Lonchura striata: one gene and its partner. The protein of the gene in region 1 interacts with the protein of each later gene in a pairwise test. Links are inferred from orthologs where the notes say so. Each region holds a gene or a part of one and is shown in the gene's direction. Other genes may lie near its edges. The genes, in order: INSR and MAD2L1.

The links.
Region 2: the proteins of INSR (region 1) and MAD2L1 interact in binary tests that used the Homo sapiens proteins (3 or more experiments, as listed by UniProt). The link is inferred for Lonchura striata from reciprocal best matches to the Homo sapiens genes INSR and MAD2L1.

The regions. Positions count from the first base shown.
Region 1 is NC_134630.1:3,806,585-3,816,506, reverse strand, and holds the start of INSR (insulin receptor), read left to right. Parts: upstream 1-6,221; 5' UTR 6,222-6,233; coding exon 6,234-6,318; intron 6,319-9,922. UniProt on the Homo sapiens protein: Receptor tyrosine kinase which mediates the pleiotropic actions of insulin.
Region 2 is NC_134606.1:70,014,037-70,023,746, forward strand, and holds MAD2L1 (mitotic spindle assembly checkpoint protein MAD2A), read left to right. Parts: upstream 1-5,248; 5' UTR 5,249-5,293; coding exon 5,294-5,375; intron 5,376-5,551; coding exon 5,552-5,698; intron 5,699-5,781; coding exon 5,782-5,902; intron 5,903-6,198; coding exon 6,199-6,302; intron 6,303-6,780; coding exon 6,781-6,953; 3' UTR 6,954-7,602; downstream 7,603-9,710. Other genes in the region: RPL7L1 (ribosomal protein uL30-like), read right to left, coding at 8,910-9,118, 9,288-9,397, 9,638-9,710. UniProt on the Homo sapiens protein: Component of the spindle-assembly checkpoint that prevents the onset of anaphase until all chromosomes are properly aligned at the metaphase plate.

The DNA.
Region 1 (9,922 bases):
TGACCTGTGGAGGGTGGTGGATGCTCTGCTGCTCCAGCCCTCGGCTCCATTTTGTGGCACAGGGCTCTGTGCAGCTCTCCACAGAATATGTATAGAATATGTATAGAAATGGCCTTCTGTGAGAGTTGCTTAACTTTCCCAAAAGCTTGGGAAATCCAGATGGGGAGATGTTTATCAGGCACAGGGCTGCGCCTTGCTTGGCTTCTTGGCAGACTACCTGCTTTGAGAGAGCAAGGAAATTAAACCAAAACCCTTTTGGAGGCTTGGGTCACGTCAGGCCAGTGGATGCAGTAATTCAGAATCTGGCAGCAGTGGTGACTCTGGGTCAGTCTAAGCTTTTCTGGCAAACATCCTTGGCGGCAGAGACTCCGTGTGTTACAATGCTCAGTGTTTAGCAGTGTCCTCGTCACAGATGGGATGTGCTGGAAGGATCCTTCACAGAGTGTTGATGCAGGAATGGCAGGAGCAGAACACTGGATACAGTGGCTCCTGTGGCTGGGCAGTCCCAGGTTTTGGGTACGTGCTCCCTTGGGTTTTCTTTGCTCTTTGTGCATCAGGCTTGAGAGGCTGTGAGCAGCTTGCCCAAACTGGCAGCTATTCTGCCAGAAGGGAATATCCTATGAAGAGTGAAAAGGAGGGAGTGGGCAGAGCAGGGTTCTGTGTGACACTCAGCATCACCTTCCTTCTCACTGTCTGCTGTAAACCTGCCATGAAACCTCAGAATTGAGTCTTATGATTTCTAGTTACAATTTAGTTTCTTTTACAAAAGAAATTCTTTCCTGTGAGGGTGGTGAGGCCGTGGCACAGGCTGCCCAGAGCAGCTGTGGCTGCCCCATTTCTGGAAGTGTTCCAGGCCAGGCTGGATGGGGCTTGGAGCAACCTGGGATAGTGGAAGGTGTCCCTGCCCATGGCAGGGGTTGGGATGGAATGGGATGGGCTTTTAAGATCCTTCCAAACCAAACCATTCTGTGACTCTGTGAACCGTAAAAACTGTAATGGCAGGGCTAGAGCAGCTCGGGGCAGGTACTCAAATGTCGCGGTCTGCAGCAGAATTCCTGATGTAATTCCCAAGTCCGGGGCCTGGCATGGGGCTGGCTGGGAGCTCCTGTCCTGACCTGCCCCACTGCTGGGAATCCGTGCACTTGCCGTGTGTCCCACTGAACGGGAGTGACATTAAACCCCAACGGCGCTAAATCAATACCACCTGTCACATGATGCCACCGTGACATTTCTGGCATGAGCACTCCCTCTAATAGGAGCTGGAACTGAGAAGCAGCAGCAGTTAGTGAATAATGGATCAGATACGGCTGATTTGTAACATTTACAGAGGGAGGGCGTGTCTCCCAGCGACAGAACAAACCGGTTATCAAACGGGAACTGGGAGTTCTGACTCGTCCAAAACACAAACCCTGAGCGGTGCGGAGCACAGAGCCAGGGTTGGGAACCCTGCTGCTGCCAGCACTCCCTCCAAATGAGACTCTGGATCAACAAAAACAGGCATTAGCGTCAAGAAATAACCAAGGAAGGAGGGGCTGGGGGTGAGCTGTGGATCAGAACTGGTATAGCTGGTGGCTGGGCTGGAAGCGGCGTGGCCGTGCTGGGGGCAGTGACACGGCTGTGGCCACTGCCCTGCACGTGGTGGCTGATGGAGAGCAGGGAGCCTGGCAGCAGGTTGTGCAAAACACACCTGGGGCTGCCTGAGGTGAGCAGCAGAAGCTGTAGGGAAGGATGGAGGATGGAGGGTGAGGAGGCTCAGTGGGCTGAAGGCCACATCTGTCTGATTTTCTTACATCTGGGCCCTGCTCACCAGACCCAGGTTGGGAACGCTGACACTACTTTGGTTTTTTCAAGCTGTAAACTTTGATGCTGAATTAGAACAAAGATATTCTTACAAGGAATTAAAAACAAGTTGAATATTGTGTCTGCCTCTGTGACACCCAAAAATCAAACTGCACAAAACCAGAAACTGGACCGAAAAAAAAGCTCAAATGAGGCAGTGCTGCAGTGGAATTTGCTTCCTTCATCTCCAGGGTCTTTGATGTGCATGTAGCAGAGAGATGCCCTCTGCCATTTTCACCCTGGTCAAAATTTGTATTTGTTCATGTAACAATAGAATTCTCCAGAAGGATCTGACAGGGTTTCCTGTTTCAACAGCAAAAAGCTGAGAAGCTGAGACTTCTGTCCTTAGCACATAAAGTGACCGGATCTCCATCCTCTGAGCCTCCTCACTGAGAAAAGTCACTTATCGGATTTGGTGTGGACGGAAGGAAGGGTAAGAAAGGAACTCTGTCAATCCATGACGTGAAATATTTTATATTAAGAGATTTGGCCAAGGGTGTTGTGTGACCCTAAACAGGATGAGATAATTTTCCAAGGTCAGCTCTCCTGTGCTCTCAGCGTTAGGTTTAGTCACCGCAAAGTCAATCCCGTAAACCTTTGCAGCAACATCCTGCCAGTGATGCAGAGACTTGGCTGTTGTTGGCTTTAACAGCAGCTCTGCTGCATCTTCAAAGGGCAGGAGGCTGCATAACGTGCAAATTGCCTGGTGAGAAATGTGTGAGCAGGAAAGAGTGCCTGGCACATCAATAAAAACAGTGCAACCTGAGCCATGGGGTAACTCTTCACCCAGGCAGTTGCAACTTGTTGTTTAAAGAAGGCCACAGTGAACTGGGGGAGCAGAAAGTGGGAATTCTGACCTCAGCTCAGCCCCAGGCTGCTGTGTGGCTTTGGCTCCTGAACTGGTTTTCAAGCAGCTTAGTTCTTAAAACAGAATTGGTACCAATGAACCTTCCTGGTGAGTCAACTGCTCCAAAGCTCCTTTGGGGCACAAAGTTTGTGTTCCTTGACTATTCCCAGGGTGGTTAATTAGTGAGGAACTTTAATTAGTATGGCTAAAGACACACAACCTAAAACCCACCCATGTGTTCCAGTGCATAGAGAAAAAGATGTGTTGGTTCTCAAGGTGTGAAGCTCTCAGCAAGCTCCATGTGTTGGTGCTTGGGAGCTGAGCTGGGTTCTCTCTCCACAGACACTTGTGACAGTACAAGGTTGTCACTGCTGCAACATTCAAGCTGCTTTACAAAGTCATTGTCCCTACCTGTGTGTGCAAACGTGGCTCCTGCTCCAGGGATGGGCTTCCAAGAGCTTCAGTCCTGAGCAGCATTGATCTGGAGGAGGGATCTGTTGGGAACTTGGTGCTCTTAGGTTGGTTTGATGTGGAGTCATCTGTAGGACAGAGCAGTAGACTTTGGACAAGGGATGGAGGGACAGGACACAGGGAGTGGCTTCCCACTGCCAGAGGGCAGGGATGGATGGGATATTGGGCAGGAATTGTTCCCTGAGAGGGCAGTAAGGGGCTGGCACAGGGTGCCCAGAGCAGCTGTGGCTGCCCCTGGATCCCTGGCAGTGCCCAAGGCCAGGCTGGGCAGGGCTTGGAGCAGCCTGGGACAGTGGAAGGTGTCCCTGCCATGGCAGGGGGTAGGATGGGATGGTCTCTAAGGCCCCTTCCAACCCAAACCATTCCATGATTTATGTAAGGAATGGATCAAACCAAAACAAATAAGTCTTGGTAGGGTCAAACAGATGGATACACTCTACTGCAAGTCTTTCTGTACTTAATTTTCTCAGGAGGATTCAGATCTGAACCCCCATGGTCTGTGATTGTCACAGTTCATAGCACTTATCCCTGCTTATTTCCAAGTTATTCTAACTAAAACATAAAACATCTGTAGTGGAGAGAAAGAAATATGACTGTTGCCAATATTTAATATATCAAACTGGTGATTTTAGTAGCTTCTTGAATCAGAAATAAAAGAAAAGCCTGCATTGCAGTTATTAGGAGAAAAAAAAACAGAACTCAAGAGTAAGCAGGTGTTGGCTTAGTTTCTAAGCGCCCACATTGCTCCTGTTGGTTTATCTGATTGCAAACCAAGTGCACTGTAGCGTGATGAATATGTAGCAGTGGATGTATGGGAAAGATGCTGGAAAGGTTGCACACTGATGTTCTTAATCAGTAATTAGAAACTAAAAATAGTATTTTAAGGAAAGATAATAAATCTGTAGCCTTTAATCCTCATATGCCAATGTGTAAACTGATATCATTATTACATGAAAAGCAATGAGAACATAAGTGAGTAAGCAAGAGCAGGTTGCTGTTACAGTCACAGTATAAATTCCACACAGCCCGAGCTGTCCAGGTGATGTTTGGCTCTGTTTTATGCAAAGTCTACAGTCATAAAGCAAGTTAATTTGCAAGCAGAGAATGCATACTTTTGTTGTTTATTTCCCTTCCTTAAGTGTCCTTACTTCCTGAAGCAGTTGAGCATGAGTGGGGTTCTGAGTCTCTCTGCACTTGTCAGCTTGAGGCAGCAGCATGGATTTGTGAAAAAAGGACAGAAACGGGGGAAATGCCATCCCATGACTGTGGTTCTGATGGGCTGAATCAACAGCTCCTGTGCTGTGCAGACACACATCTGCTGTGCTGATGACAGAGAAAGCATCCCCACTTAAGCAGAGCCTTTCATCTCAGCATTTAAATAGTCTGCAAATGCTGAGATGTAGTTATTGTTGCACAGGTACCATCCCAGCTAATCCTGCTTACACTGGTCAAATCAGGCCGCCGGTCTTACCCTGTCCAACAGGGAAACTTCAAACAGTATCAGGGGCTGAGTCACACCAGCAGAGCCACGATTTCACTGACCAGCCCTCCCCTCAGTCACACTGTGTCGTGTCCCTGGGACAACTGCAGTCATTCTTTACCTGGAAAAGCAATGCAAAATACTTTAAATAGGGTAAACTCATAGTGCAGACGAGGGGACTGAGGCACGGTGACCTGCTGGTTAACTCTGGCCTGCCCAGGGTCTCTTAATGTCAAGCAGAAGTGAGAGATCTGTTCTAAGCTAAAGATGGTGGGATAAAAATTGTAAAGAATGTCTATTTGCCAAGCATTTTTTAATTAAAAAAGGCTTTATTCCAGCAGTTTATAACTCATTTGTCTTGCAGAAATGGCTGAAAGCAAAAGCCAGATAAAATTACTGGAAGTTGCCAGGAAACGTACTGTCATGGCTTAGCACGAGTGCAGTGCAGAGATGATTAAAAAAGGCACCAAATGATGAATCCCACAGCAAAAAGAACCAGAAATCTGCAATGGCTCTTTGGGTTCTGTGATACTGAAAGCAGTGGCAGTGGTAGACAGTATCCTCATGACAAGCTCTGTCCAGTTCTGCGGGAGGAGGAGGGACACGGGCAGAGCCAGGGCAGCAGCCCTGCTCTCAGCCTGGGCTGTCAGCACTGGGACAGAGAGACAGAATCCCAGAATGGTTTGGGTTGGGAAGGACCTCAAAGCCCATCCAGTGCCAGCCCTGCCATGGCAGGGACACCTTCACTGTCCCAGGCTGCTCCCAGCCCTGTCCAGCCTGGCCTTGGGCACTGCCAGGGATCCAGGGTGGGCACCCTGTGCCAGGGCCTGCCCACCCTCCCAGTAAAAATATTTTCCCTAATCTCTCACCTAACCATGCTCTCCTTCCATTTGAACAAACAGCGAGGTCAGGCTGCTGAACTCCTGCGTTTCACTCGCTGCACGCTGCCGAGGCCACTGCGGCTCCTCGGGCAGCACCAACGGGGCTCACAGCCGGCTGGATGGGTGGGTGGGCGGACGGGCAGAAGGACGGACGGACAGAGGAGGGGTGGGTGATGGGTGGGTGATGAAGGGCGGCTGGATGATGAAGGGCGGCTGGATGATGAAGGGTGCCTGGATGATGAAGGGTGCCTGGATGATGAAGGGAGGCTGGATGATGAAGGGTGCCTGGATGATGAAGGGTGCCTGGATGATGAAGGGAGGCTGGATGATGAAGGGCGGCTGGGTGATGAAGGGTGCCTGGATGATGAAGGGAGGCTGGATGATGAAGGGAGGCTGGGTGATGAAGGGTGCCTGGACGCCGCCGCCGCTCCTCCCCCGGCCCGTCCCGTCCCGTGCCCGCGCTCCGCGCCGCCTCTTGCGGCCGCCCCGCCGGGCTCGCAGCTGACGGGGGCAGCCCCTTGTTTACCGGCCGGGGCGCCGCCAGCCCGGCCTGCGCTGCGAGGGGCCGCCGGGCCGGGGCCGACTCCGCGGGCAGGGAGGGGCCCGGCGCTATAAAGGGGCTCCGCGGGGGCTCCGCGGCGATGCTCGGCCGGGCCCGGCCCCCGCGCCCGCCCCGCGGGCTCTGATTCGCGCCGGGCGGCGGCAGCGGCGCGGGATGGGACCGAGAGCGGCGGCGGCCGCGGCGGCGCTGGCCGTGGCCGTGGTGCTGGGAGCCTGGTGCGGCCGCGGCCGCGGCGAGAGTGAGTCGGGGCCCGGCCGGGAGGGCTGGGGGGCTGCGGGCGGCGGCGGGGCGGGCCCGGGCCCGCCGTGCCCTTTGTACCTGCGCGGGGCCCGCGGGCAGCGCGGCCCGGAGCGCTCCCGGGTCACCTTCAGCCCCGGCCCGGCCCGGCGGCGGCCGAGATTGGAGCGGCACGGCCGGGAGGGCAGCGGCGGCCCCGGCTCTCCCGGCCCGCGGGGCCCCGCGCGGGCGGCGCCGGGCCGGGGTCAGCGGGGCCGCGCCCGGGGAGGGGCACGGGCCCCTCTGCGGAGCCGCTCCCCGGCCCTTCCATGGGCACTTCCCCCGTTCCTTCCCCGGTTCCTCCCCGGTTCCTCCTCGGCTCCCCTCCCCGGGCCCTGCCAGGGTCTCTTCCTCAGTCCCCTCCCCGGTCCCTTTCCCGGTCCCCTCTCCGGCCCCTTCCCTGGGTCCCCTCCCCCGATCCACTCTCCGGTCCCTTTCCCGGGTCCTGTCCCGTGTCCCTTTCCCGAGTCCTGTCCCGTGTTCCTTTCCCGGGTCTCTCTCCCGTGTCCCTTTCCCGGGTCCTGTCCCGTGTCCCTTTCCCGGGTCTCTCTCCCGTGTCCCTTTCCCGGGTCCTGTCCCGTGTCCCTTTCCCGAGTCCTGTCCCGTGTCCCTTTCCCGGGTCTCTCTCCCGTGTCTCTTTCCCGGGTCTCTCTCCCGTGTCCCTTTCCCGGGTCCTGTCCCGTGTCTCTTTCCCGGGTCCTGTCCCGTGTCCTTTTCCCGGGTCCTGTCCCGTGTCTCTTTCCCGGGTCCTGTCCCATGCTCCTTTCCCGGGTCCCTCTCCGCTCCCTCCCCGGTCCCTTCCCCAGTCTCTTCTCGGGTCCTTTCCCTGATCCTTTCCCCGGTTCCCTCCCCAGTCCTGTGCCCCTGCCGCTGCTCGGCTGCCTCAGAACCGGCTCCGGTTTCAGGAGGGTTTAGTGTGGCCAGACGCGGAGGTTTTGTCTTTAACCACTTTTAGGTAGTGTGCCAAATCCACAGGTATTAAGATGGGAGAGCTCCAGGGGAAGGCTCTGTGTGTACACAGGGGCTTGTAAAATACTGGACAGGGGTATGAAGATGTTGTGTTGGAGGTCACAAGCTTGTTAAACCTGCGGCTAGCTCCAGGTTAAGCCTTACGAGTTGTTTTGATGGGTTATGTTAAATAAACTTGCTCAGGAAATCCTTTTAATGGGAGGTTCTTTAATTTTGGGCGATTCTTGCCATTTTTTTTGACAAAAGGAAAATATTTATTTAAAGACAGCTAACTGGATCCGTGGGTCATGTCTCACATAGACAATCTACCTGTTGGCTTTCCCTTCAGAAAAGGCAAGAGCAAGAGAATCAGTTCAAGTACTGACAATACAGTGATGGACATTATTGGGATGTGTATGGGATTCAGGGAATAAGGCAGGATGCTCCTGTAAGACAGCCTCTTTTTCCAACAATAGGACAAATCACGTATTTCAAAAATAACCCAGTTTCTTCCCTCACACGTTTGAAACCTCACAAGAGTCCGGTGACACTGTGTTACCTTGGGAGGGTCAGTCCCAGCTGCTGTGGGCAAACCTGCCCGCCTCCAGCAGAGATGGAAAAGGCAGTTGACATATAGCACTAATAATAAATAAATACGTGTGCAACTGGAGTCCAGCAGTTCCTAATTTGAAAACACTATTATTACTGCCACGGCGCAGCCTGTGATTTGGTTATTTATTTAAATCATATTTGCTTTTTGGGGTTCAAGCGTGTCTATGTTCTAAACTCCCTAATCTTTGCTGTGTTACAGCGTGGTAGGAAAATGTTCTCTTGAGTTCATGGATGGAGGAACAGGGGCACAAGACAGCAAAGCAAAGCGTGGGCTGGAACATTTCCATATCATTTTTACTGTGCAAATATTTCATGAAATATTCTACAGACAGTTCGGACCGTCGGGGTTTTGATGTTTGAACGTGATTTAAAAGGTTTTCAGCTGCTCTGGTGTTTGATTCTATTTTCTGGGGGCTTGGCTCAGTTTTCTGGGAATGGTGAGGTCATGGAGCACCACAGTGGGGATGGAAAACAGAAACAAAAAACCAGAGGGGGAAATGCACGTACAAGAGCTGCATGAGCAAACAAGTTGTTCCCTGAGCAACGGGTCTGATTGAGGCAGCTTTCTTGGAGATCTGTGCCCTGTGTTCCCACAGACAGGCTCTGCAGGTACAAAATTCCCCCCATCCATGGTTGTCCTTGTGTCCCATGTGTAAATGTCTCTCCCTTTTGGTGCCTTTAGGCAGCCTTGGAGAAGATTTGGGGGCAAGCAGCAGGTGGATGGAGGTTGTTCAGTAGAAAAATGGAGTGGATGGTAAAATTCACATTTCCATCCGGATTATGAGTTTCTCCTCCTCAATCCATCCCATTTTCCTAAATATTTTAGGAATACTTCATGTGAGAGCACTCTTCCTCTCTTACATGTGGTTAAAGGTAGTTACTGAGTTCAGGAGTTACTGAGAGAAGAAGAAAGGGTTAAGGAAAGAAGGCCTGACCTGTGCATAAAATGAAGATCCATATATCTTGTTTTGGGAAGAAAGACAGTTTTGTGTATTTTTTTTTAATGACTGTGTAAACATAATGCAACTTCTTGAAATAAATCTCGCACATGACTCATGCCTGTCAGTTCATTAGCTCTGGTATTTGGGGTGGGATTTACCTCACCTAGTTTTAGGCATCTGGTAATGAAGCAGCTTCCTTTGGGCTTCTTTTCTGGTTAATAGAAAACTGATCAATGCAGTCATGGGTGTTTAGAGCACTCTTCCTCCCTTTCTGAACTCTTCCCCTAAATTTAGGAGCTGCACATGTGCTCCAGTACCTGCTGCTGATGTGAGAGTTGGGAATGCAGTTGAGAGATCTCTGCCTAAATCACCCTGTGGGACAAATTTCGCTGTGTATTGCTGTAGTAACACACTTTAAAAATAGGTTGCTTCTTAGTTAGTATCACATCTGGTTGATACAGATATTTTTGTGCTCGTAAACTCATTAAGAAACTGTTCCCTTGTCCCACCTCAGGCCTGAGTTAATTTTTTATGTTGAGACACTCAGTCTAGAATGAATTTTTTTATGAGACCAAAAGCAGGAATAAAGGAGAAAAAAGCATGAGAATAAAGTAGGAAAAGTGAGTGCAGAAGGGCAGGGCTGTACCAAACCCAGGCCCCAGCATGTCCTGTCCCTTTTTTGGGGCGAGGCAGCGCAGTGGCTGTCTCTGAACAGCGTAAAACCCCAGAGCTTTCTGGAGGTCACTTTTGGGATTATGGAATAATCCTTGTGGAATATCAATGATGCTGCTATGGGCAAGGTGTGGAACCTGTTCCTGCTGCCTTTGGAGCAGGGAGGATCCTCAGGTGTGTCAGCTCCAGCACCGCCGCCGCCGTTACCCCGAGCGATCCCGGGGTGCTGCCACCCCAGCACTGCTTATCTCTGCCTGGAAATGGGGCAGGACAAGTCCTGTTTGCTCTCTGGGTTTGGAATCAAGTGAGGGGAGCATAAAGACAGCCCAGCCCAGGCTTTAAAGGCCAGACTTGGAGGGGTTTGAGCGGTGAGAGGTATCAGGTACCTGAGAT
Region 2 (9,710 bases), on another chromosome or scaffold:
AGTGAATTGGATGTCCTTCGGGGCTTATGAATGACTTAGAAAACCAAGTGCATTTGTTCAAATTGTACCAGCAAATCCTTTCTTCACTTTTCACATGTGATGCAGAATTGTATAAGCTTTGGTTTGTACCTGATACTTCCCACACTTACCTCAATGCTGTTCTTGTGCAAAGACAGCTTCTTTAATGGTAAAAGAAAAACTCCTGGCTGTATGATTCCCAGAGCACAGTTCCCTTTCCACTGAGAGGGGAGTTTTGGGTATGCTTTTTCCACATATCCAAAATAAGCCTTCTGGAGCTTTCCAATAGTCAAATTTTTGTTGATCTATATTCTCCCAAAATTTGGAAATTTCTGGGATGCCAAAGTTAAGTCATCAGTGCTAATAATCAGATATTGCCCTGATTTCCAGATAAAGGCATTTTTAACAGCTCATGTTACTTCTGGACTGCTCATGTTTGTTTGTGAACCAGCAGAGCAGATGAGTTCTGATTAAAGGCACACACAAAGTTCAAGAGTCAAGCATTTGTCTCCATGCTATGGGATGAGACTTGCAGCATGCACTGAGATGCAGGTATGGGATGGAGAAGAAGTGCTCAGGGTACAGTGGCCTGAGCATGCCTCATAAAGTATTTCAACTCTTTTCACTATTATAATTCATTGGTGACAAATTGTTCTTTTTTTTTTTTTTAGAATGGCATGCATAAATTTCTCAAAACATATGGAAACAGAACTTTTTCTTGAAATAAATCATCTTAATTGAATAATTCTTCATACCACATAGGAATAAATATCTTTAGAAAATCATTTTTTGCCATTTTCTGTCCAATACTTTGGAGAAAGTTGTTGTCAGTAATGATTATCATTCTGCCAACAGGACACCTAACTTGCCTGGAGATTTAACTGTAGGAAAACAAATATATATAAAGGATCTAATTTTCAAGTGGAAATAAAGGAAATATTCATATTTTTTGCCTCAAATGTTTCTAATGCCAATGACATGCTTTTCACAATGTATTTCCCTCTTCAGTCATCCCAATTCTCAGCCACTATGTAAGCTGCACTGTATTTCTTGCTGCACAATCAACTGAACAAGCCCATCATGATTATACATCAGAAGAAACACAATTAGAAAGCAATCATAAAGCAACAATTCCCATCTAACATGTTGCAACCACACAACAGAATCCTATCAAAATTCCATATGGTACTACCAAGCCGTATTTACTGTGCTACCAATCTTCTGGATCCTTTTCTCCTCATTTTCTGATGATCCACCAAAAGTCTCTGTTGACAAACCTATAAATGATAAATCAATGTTCCAGGGTACTTAAGAAGGCTCATTTTGAATTTAAAATTTAATAATACTGGCTCAGTAAATTTAAGCTACCTGAGAACTCCCTAGTTTTCTATTGATCTATTAATATGAAAACTTCAGATGTGACAGGAGCTAAACTGAATTGGATTAACATTCACCTTTCAAACTATAAACCTTCAGGTTGGGGATTAAGTAATGAAGGGGATTAAGCTGTAAAGAGCAGGATTCATTGGATTTCACATAGCATGTTACCAGTGTAATAGGACATCATCCAGCACTAAGAAGTTCTCAAGGCACAAAAAAACTCAGTAAAGTCCTGTTCTTCCCAATTCTGAAACCAGATTCTTATCCTCACATGAAATGTTTAAAGATAATAATTCCTTTGTTAAATTGTCTCTAATGCGACAGAAACCAAAGATAAACAACAAAACTGGGCATTAAGTATCCCCTTCATTCTGGGAAAAATATTTTAAATCTAGAAAAAGGTGTAAAACTAGTAAAGAACCTAACAGTGAAACTAACGGTGAAATCAACTCGCAGTACTCGAACCAAAACTGAAGGGGCGCAGATAACGCGTGTGCCTGCTGCCATCTCCTGGTAGAAAAATGTCAGGTCTCCGAAGGAAAACCTTCCCCAAAAACGGAAAAAGAACTTTATGTTCTACAGAAAATGCTTTCAAAACTCTCAAAATTTACAAGATTTTATTTCACTGTACAAGGCAGCCACTACCTGGACATAGCTCCTTACAAGCTAAATGGAGTTCTAACACTGGCTTAAGCAGAGAAACACCAAAGCTCTGTGATTTTTATAAAGGAAATAAGTACTCACCCGACTTACTCTAATTTAAAAATACATTCAGAAAATTAACTGTAGAAATTTACACACGGCATTCAAAATCAAAGGAAGTCGCTTTGGGAAGCCTGATCATCTTATTACAAGTTCTAGTGCAGATTATTGGCCCATACTGACTCATTTTAGTATCCATTTCTTTTCATGAATACTTGAAGTTCAAGACAATCTTTCACTGTTGTGCTACCCTCATTGCCTTTGATGAATTGCACAGAATTGATATTTGTAATAATATTCCATGTTTTATGTTCTAAAAATAGGATTAGCAAACTTGAAAAGAAATTTTATTTTGACAGCTGACAGAAGGCACCTGTACTTACCCTGCAAAATTTAGTGCCACAAAGACTGTTTTAACTTGCATTTCATAGGCTATTTTGCTGTTCTGGAGAGAAGAGACTTGTCCACATCCTCCCAAAGGTCAAAAGATAAACAAATAATGGGAATAAACTTTACAAGTGGATTATGTCTCCTAGGGTGCTGAATGACTGTGGGAATGTGACCTGGCGTGCCTTAGAAAAAATGATGGCATACTAGTGATTTGGATTGCCCATGGTTCACTGACAATTGCCATGGGGAAATAATCACTGAATGTTGCAGAAAAGCCAAGCTAAATGTGGAACATTTCCCTTCACAGAATGAGAATCCAAAAAATTGTGTTGCAACATCAAGCTGTAACTGAGAAACTGAACAATGACTGAAGAGTTGTAAGAGATCTAAATTAAATCCAACTGGGATTTCACATTCCTTATGAAAATGGAGGTTTTATCATGAGATGATTAAAGCAAGGATAGCCAACTCCTGGTGTGCCAGAATGTACAACTTAGCCTGTCATCCTGGTTCGTGAGAGTCCCTTGGAGCTGGTCAGGAAACAGCCTGTCACAAATCAGCCACTCGCCCTCAGCAGGATCCCTGGCAGAGCTGCAGAGCCCTCCTCCTGCTGGGCATTCCCAGCCACAAACTGCAGGCACTGTCTATGGAGCGTGGTCAGGAACATGAGGAAGGACTTGTGTGCATGTCCCCATCACACCTGGCCCGGCCATGGTCAGATGCCAGCTGCAGCTTACTTACAGCACAGAAGAAACAACACATTTCCAAAGGTTGTGCAAATTGCACCAAATGCAAAGGTGTTGGGGATTTGTTGTGGAGGAGAAGGGAGCACATCAGGGCAGAAACTGGTGCTAATCACAGCACAGAACCAGGGAGAGAAACGACCCAAAACTCTGAAATGCCAGGTGCAGGAAGCTCAGAGTTCCAACAGAGGTCACCAACCACTCTCAATGTCTGCCAGGTGAACCTTGTCAAAAGTAACGAGGAAGAAAATAAGTCTGACACTGATAAGCATATGCACCTGTGTGCGTGCAAACTATCCAAACTGAAACACAGACATTAACTTGGTAAACCAAGAAACACCTTGATTCCTTTCTTCTGTCTGATTTCAACAGGAAGACAGCTAGAGGAGAAATGTGTTAAATATTAATCAAAAGCTCTGCTATTCTTGCCTGGTCTCACGCTTTCAAGTTATTCTGTTTATCACAAAAATGAGCAACTCTTCCAAAACAAAATGGACAAGAAGCCAAGTGTAGGAAAAACCCCAGAGGACTGAGACCATTTGGGGATGGATAAATAAGAGCACCACAGTACATAAGGTTTTAAGCAAAACAGCTAATATTCACAGCAATTGAACTTCTAAAAGTTAGGCTTTGGATGAAAAATGCTTCCATTATTACAACCTTGGAAATATACCACTCTTACTCAGAAAATACTTTATTCAGAAGACTTATGTATAACACAATCACTAGTGAACAAGATCCAGAATAAATCTCCCCTGGTTAAATTAAATTATTCAGACCCTTTCAGAACTTCAGCACATGACTTCAGGACAATACCATTTGTTTTAATCACAGCAGCCTGAATCCTGAGAAAAACCATATTTCCTCTTGGATCAACACAGGAACCAAGAGAAAGCCTAAGCTTTTGTGGAAAAGTATTTTATTACAATAAATAAGCAATCACACCATCAATTCACTCTCTTAGCATCTGGCCCACTGTACTGTGTAATGATTACATGGTTTTTATTCTCAGTATAAATATTTGTGTTTTGAATACAACTTCATTTTAAGACTGATCAATTTGTTTCTTTTAAGGGTGATATGGTTATCTAACACAAGTATATCTTAGATGATAATATCAGATGATGCTTTGGAAAAATCACATTCAAGTTATAATTAATTTCATTTGCAGCTCTGCTCCATCCATAAATCCATAAATTTTCATTTTCTTGCTTACAATTGATTTTATAATCTAATTAGCTGGTGACCTTGTTACTATCCCGACAGACCATAACTTCCCCTCCTCATATTATTAACATACTTCAACATTTCCTTGTTTTTCTCAGTCTCTCTTACCTGTTAACCTCTGCCACAGCTTCCTCCAGGTGACGGACACTGCTGGTTGCAACATCTTCCTTGGTGTCCCTGTATTAACAGGACTAAAGATGTTTGACCAAGTAGCAAATTCCCTTCACCAAGGCAGCCCAACAACCCTAATGGTTCTCAACCCTTTATTATTTTTATTATTACTTCTGGAGTTGTTATGGATTGAATTAAATATTGTTTATCCACGTTCTCCCCACCTGCCTCTTCACACGTGGGGGGTGCTTGCAGAATAGTATTTTTGATTTCAAACAGCTACTGCATGACTTACACCATGAAAGCCACCAGTAAATCGTAAATGAAGTATTTGTTGAATTCATACCTGGAAAGTACCATTTTTAGGTTAGTACGGTCGAATACACCTCGGCAGAGTGAAACGCAACTTCCCACAGCATTCCCAAAGCAGAGCTCCTCACTCGCTCCACGCCCGCCCCGCGCTCCCCTCAGCCCCGCCCACAGACGCGCCAGCACCGGGAGCGGCCGGGCAGTTTAACAGGGAGGGAAAGAGCCCTTCCTCTCCCGGCAGGCTGCAGCCCGGTTTCCACGGCTAAGGGGCGCGGGGAATCGCCATTCCCGGAGGGAAAGCCGCCGCGGCAGCCTGAGGCGGCGCGCGCCCCCCTCCCGCGGCCGCGCGCGCGGGAAGGGGCGGGCCCGGGGGCGGGGCCGGATTCGAACCGGGCGGCGGGGAAGCGGCGGCCATGGCGGCGCAGCAGCAGCTCGGCCGGGAGCACCAGGGCATCACCCTGCGCGGCAGCGCGGAGCTCGTCGCCGAGTTCTTCTGTGAGGGGGCCGCGGGGCACCTCGGGGACCGCGCTGCGAGAGAGGGAGGGAGAGAATGGGGGTGGGAGGGGAGGGGGTGGGAGGCCGCGGCTGGTGGGGCGACATGGCCGCCGGCTGGGGCGTGGGGGGGGGTGGCTTGGTACACATCCCTTTCCCTCTCCGCCTAAATCGTGCAGCCTATGGAATCAACAGCATCCTGTACCAGCGGGGCATCTACCCCCCCGAGACCTTCACCCGCGTGCAGAAGTACGGGCTCACGCTGCTGGTCACCACGGACGCCGAGCTGGCCAACTACCTCAACAACGTGACCGAGCAGATGAAAGGTGCGGGCCGGCGGCGGGGCGCTCCCTGCGGTGTCCCTGCCGCTGCTTCTCGCGCTCTGAGCGACTGCCCCGGCTTCTTGCAGAGTGGCTGTACAAGTGCACCGTGCAGCGCCTGGTGGTGGTCATCTCCAGCATCGAGAGCAGCGAGGTCCTGGAGCGGTGGCAGTTTGACATCGAGTGTGACAAAACTGCAAAGGATGACAAGTGAGTTCCACGGTCCCTCCACTCCTGCGCTTCCCTATCCTGAGTACCTGGGCAGATCAATGCCACGGACTTGTTCCTTCAAAGCTTTCTCAGTGCCCTGCCCTCTGTTTGTCTGCAAAACAATAGAGGGAGAGCAGCTATCACTTAACTTTTCTAAGGACTTAAAAGTGTCACTACTACTCTAAAAATACTCTAGCAAACAGACTACCAGAGCTTAACAAAGATAACTATATTTAGAGGAAACTGTCAGTGCAGTAGTAGTTTCTTCTCTTACCAGAATTTTCTTATTTTTCCAGTGGACCACGGGAGAAATCTCAGAAGGCAATTCAGGATGAAATTCGCTCTGTCATCAGACAAATAACTGCCACAGTAACCTTCCTGCCACTCTTGGAATCTGCCTGTGAGTATTCCAAAGTGCACTAAAGAAATAAAATACTTTTGAAAAACCTCAGTAACTTTCCAACTTCGGAAAATATTTTTCTGAGGCTTTTTAATGATTACCCATTGTGCACCGTCAGGTTTGTGAGACAGCATGAGATCAAGACAGAACTTGGTGTGGCTTAACGAACTTGAGGAAATTAATGTGTTTGCCCTGAGGAATGCAAGTTTTCATGAATAATTTGCTCCTATGAAATGTTATACAGAGCTCATCTCCACAGCATTGTAACATGCTTTAAAAAAAATTACAACACAATTTAGTTATTGAGAAAACTAAAAGGATGTCACATTAATGTAACTTTTGGGTTGGTTTTTTTTTTTTCACATAACTAGTATCAGTGTAACTTCTGAAAACCTTGATCCTTGTCTCTAAGTCTAGAAGCTGCACTTCAAAGCTGCCACCATGTCCTTATGGTGAATTTGTTTTCCCTTGCTCCCAGGTGCCTTTGACTTGCTGATCTACACGGATAAAGATTTGGCAGTGCCAGAAAAGTGGGAAGAGTCAGGACCGCAGTTCATAGCCAATTCAGAAGAGGTTCGGCTACGTTCCTTCACTACCACAATCCACAAGGTCAACACTACAGTGGCTTACAAGAAGGATTCTGTTCCCTAAGATGCTGGGGCAAGTTTTGTGTGTGTAAATATCCTGTCACCTTGTATAGTTTCTGTTCATCATGCAGCTAAGCTATGAGCACATCATTACTGTCCTCTTGATAAAAGTATGACAAAAAGACAACGTGCATGTCTGTGATACTGTGACACTAGACTAACCTGGCATTTTTAAAGAGATTTAAAAAAGGTACTTATGGTCATAGTTCAATTCTTACTTTACTGTATGTAAAATAAGCTAAACTAATGGTGTGTTAAACCACTGCCTCTGCTAGAAAAACTGCCTAAATCTAGGATTAGTTGCTAGAGTTGTATTATTCTTAAACTGCATTCTGTTAGCAGTCTTAAATTCTCTGTAGCAACTAAAATAATCTCATTCCTAGTGTGCCAGTTTTCATGTTAGAAGCCTGGGCTGTTTTATTACCAGAAATAACCCTAAAACAAATCAACCAAACAATTCTTGTACCACTCTACAATGGTAGCAGCTGTTTTATCAGGAAAACTTTAAACACATGAAGCCTTCTATTTTAATGACCACTGGGCTCTGGTTCTGGGGACACAGTTGTTCTGTGTACGTCTGTAGTGTCTGTCCAGCGTTTTCTATGTTTCTATTCTTGGTTACAGAATAAAGCTTCGGGTTTTATGTTCTCTAATTGAGAGTCTACAGTTCTTGGTACTTCAGATGGTTCCATGAATGCTACATTCTAGTTTATAACTGTCACACAAGCAACACCCAAGACATCCTCCTTGTTACTTAACTGTTTCCTTCCTGAGTCTCCATGTGGTGTGGACTCTGTATGAAATCCATTAATGGATTAACACTTTGCTCCCACCTAAGTTTTCAAGCAACAGTTTAAACAGTCACAGTGAACTAATGACACTGCCTTCCATATTTGTTAAACAGCACTGGACTCTTTCATGTGTTCTTACCATTTCTGTAGTGGAAGAAATTAGGGATTTAAATCTCTGGAACTTTCAGACTTACATGGTTTTGTTCACTTCCTTCACTAAATTCATTCCAGCCAGAGTGTTTAACTGGTTTTTCCACTCTTTTACAGTGATGCAGAACTTTCTGTTATAATAATATAATTTCAGAATTTTATTTAAAAAACACAGATTACATATACCCTATCCCAGGACTGTATTTCTTGCATTTTCTTATTTCCAGGAAATACTTCTCCCCAGCAGTCCCAATACAGCAAAAGAAAAAAAAAAAAAAAAAAGGCAAAAAAAAAAAAAAGCTCTTTAAATCAGGACCACAAACCCTTAATTTTTAAAAAATAAATACAATCCAGGTACTTAACAAGTGACATTATTCACGGCTAGGGCTTGTGCTGCAGTAACAGAGCATGGTGTTTTCTTTTTTTTCTTTTGCCTATCAGCACAATTGTGACTGCACTACCCCTTTCACCCCCAGAAGCACATCAAAGAGTGAAGTCTGTAGTAGTGTGCATAAAAAACACTTATTTTACAGAGATGCAAATGTGAAATTGCTCCAAGAAGCTCATTCTTGTACCAAAGAGAATTTATCTTCTTTAAGAAGGGCCAGCCCAAAGTCCATCTCCATCATCATCTTTGTGTTTCTTCTTTTATAGAGGCACCAGCAATCAAGAGAAGTTGCATACAGATCACTGCATGTAGATAATGTCCACAAAAGGTACATGTGAAAAGGAACAGGTCATAGATCCCAGTTTTCACAAAATCCCTGCAGAATAGGGAAGAAAATATAAAATAAAGTCATATTATCTCCCAGGAGCCAAGCCTTCATGGAGGTGTCCAACTGCATGTGCTGATCCTAAAGGGATCACTCTTGATTAGTTTCTCCTACTCTGAGGTCAGTTTTGCAGAGTGACAAAACCAAGTGAGCACCCCATTCATCTTCAATGGCAGTCTGGTTGTCCTTAGGACAGGGAATGAAGGGTAAGCTTCAGAACTAACCCAGCAGGCACTGCTCACCTGACTAGTTGAGCTGACGGATGAGCTGGTTGATTGCATCACCTCTGTAGCCAGGCTTGCCCATCTCCTTGAGGAAACCCACTCTGTTCCGTGATGCGTGGCGAGCCACTGACAGGTGGAACGGCCACAGAAAGCTGGTTACTCTTTTGAAATACTTCCCAGTTGAGTAGATTTCATGAATAAGGTCTTCCAGGCAAATGATATTACAGCCCCCTGTATGAGGGAAAAAAAAAGATGTCCAGCTGTATAATCTTTCCTCACACTGCTCCAGAACTGCCAGTCCTCCAGTTTGACAAGATTTTGTCTGTCCCCACCCTTTCAGGCCAGACTGTAAACTCTCAACACCTAACCCTTTCCTCAATTTTCTCACCCTCTTCCTCACCTAAATGTTCCTCTATCAGCATGTTGTCTGTCAGAGGCACCTTCTTTTTCTTGATCTTGGCTTGGCCCCGTTTCAGGATGAGCTCTCGTACAGATTTCAGGTTAGGCTGTCTGTGCAGAAACAAAAATCAGATCCTGTAACAGAGAGACATGATGCAGAGGGACACCCATACCACTTCCTTGTGCAGAGGTGGGAAAGTACACAAGTTATGTCAAGAACAATCAGAACAAAGAAAATAGCAAGTTTTTAATACAAAGTTGATTAAGTTTTGACCATGATTGGAGAAGTAATGGATCTGTGATAGCAACTGGAGAATCCAATGACCCCCAAGTCACAGGAGGGGCACGTACCCCCACGCCACATAAGGCTCCACGATGCGCAGCATCTTCAGCGACAGTGGGCTCAGCTTCACAAATACCCCGG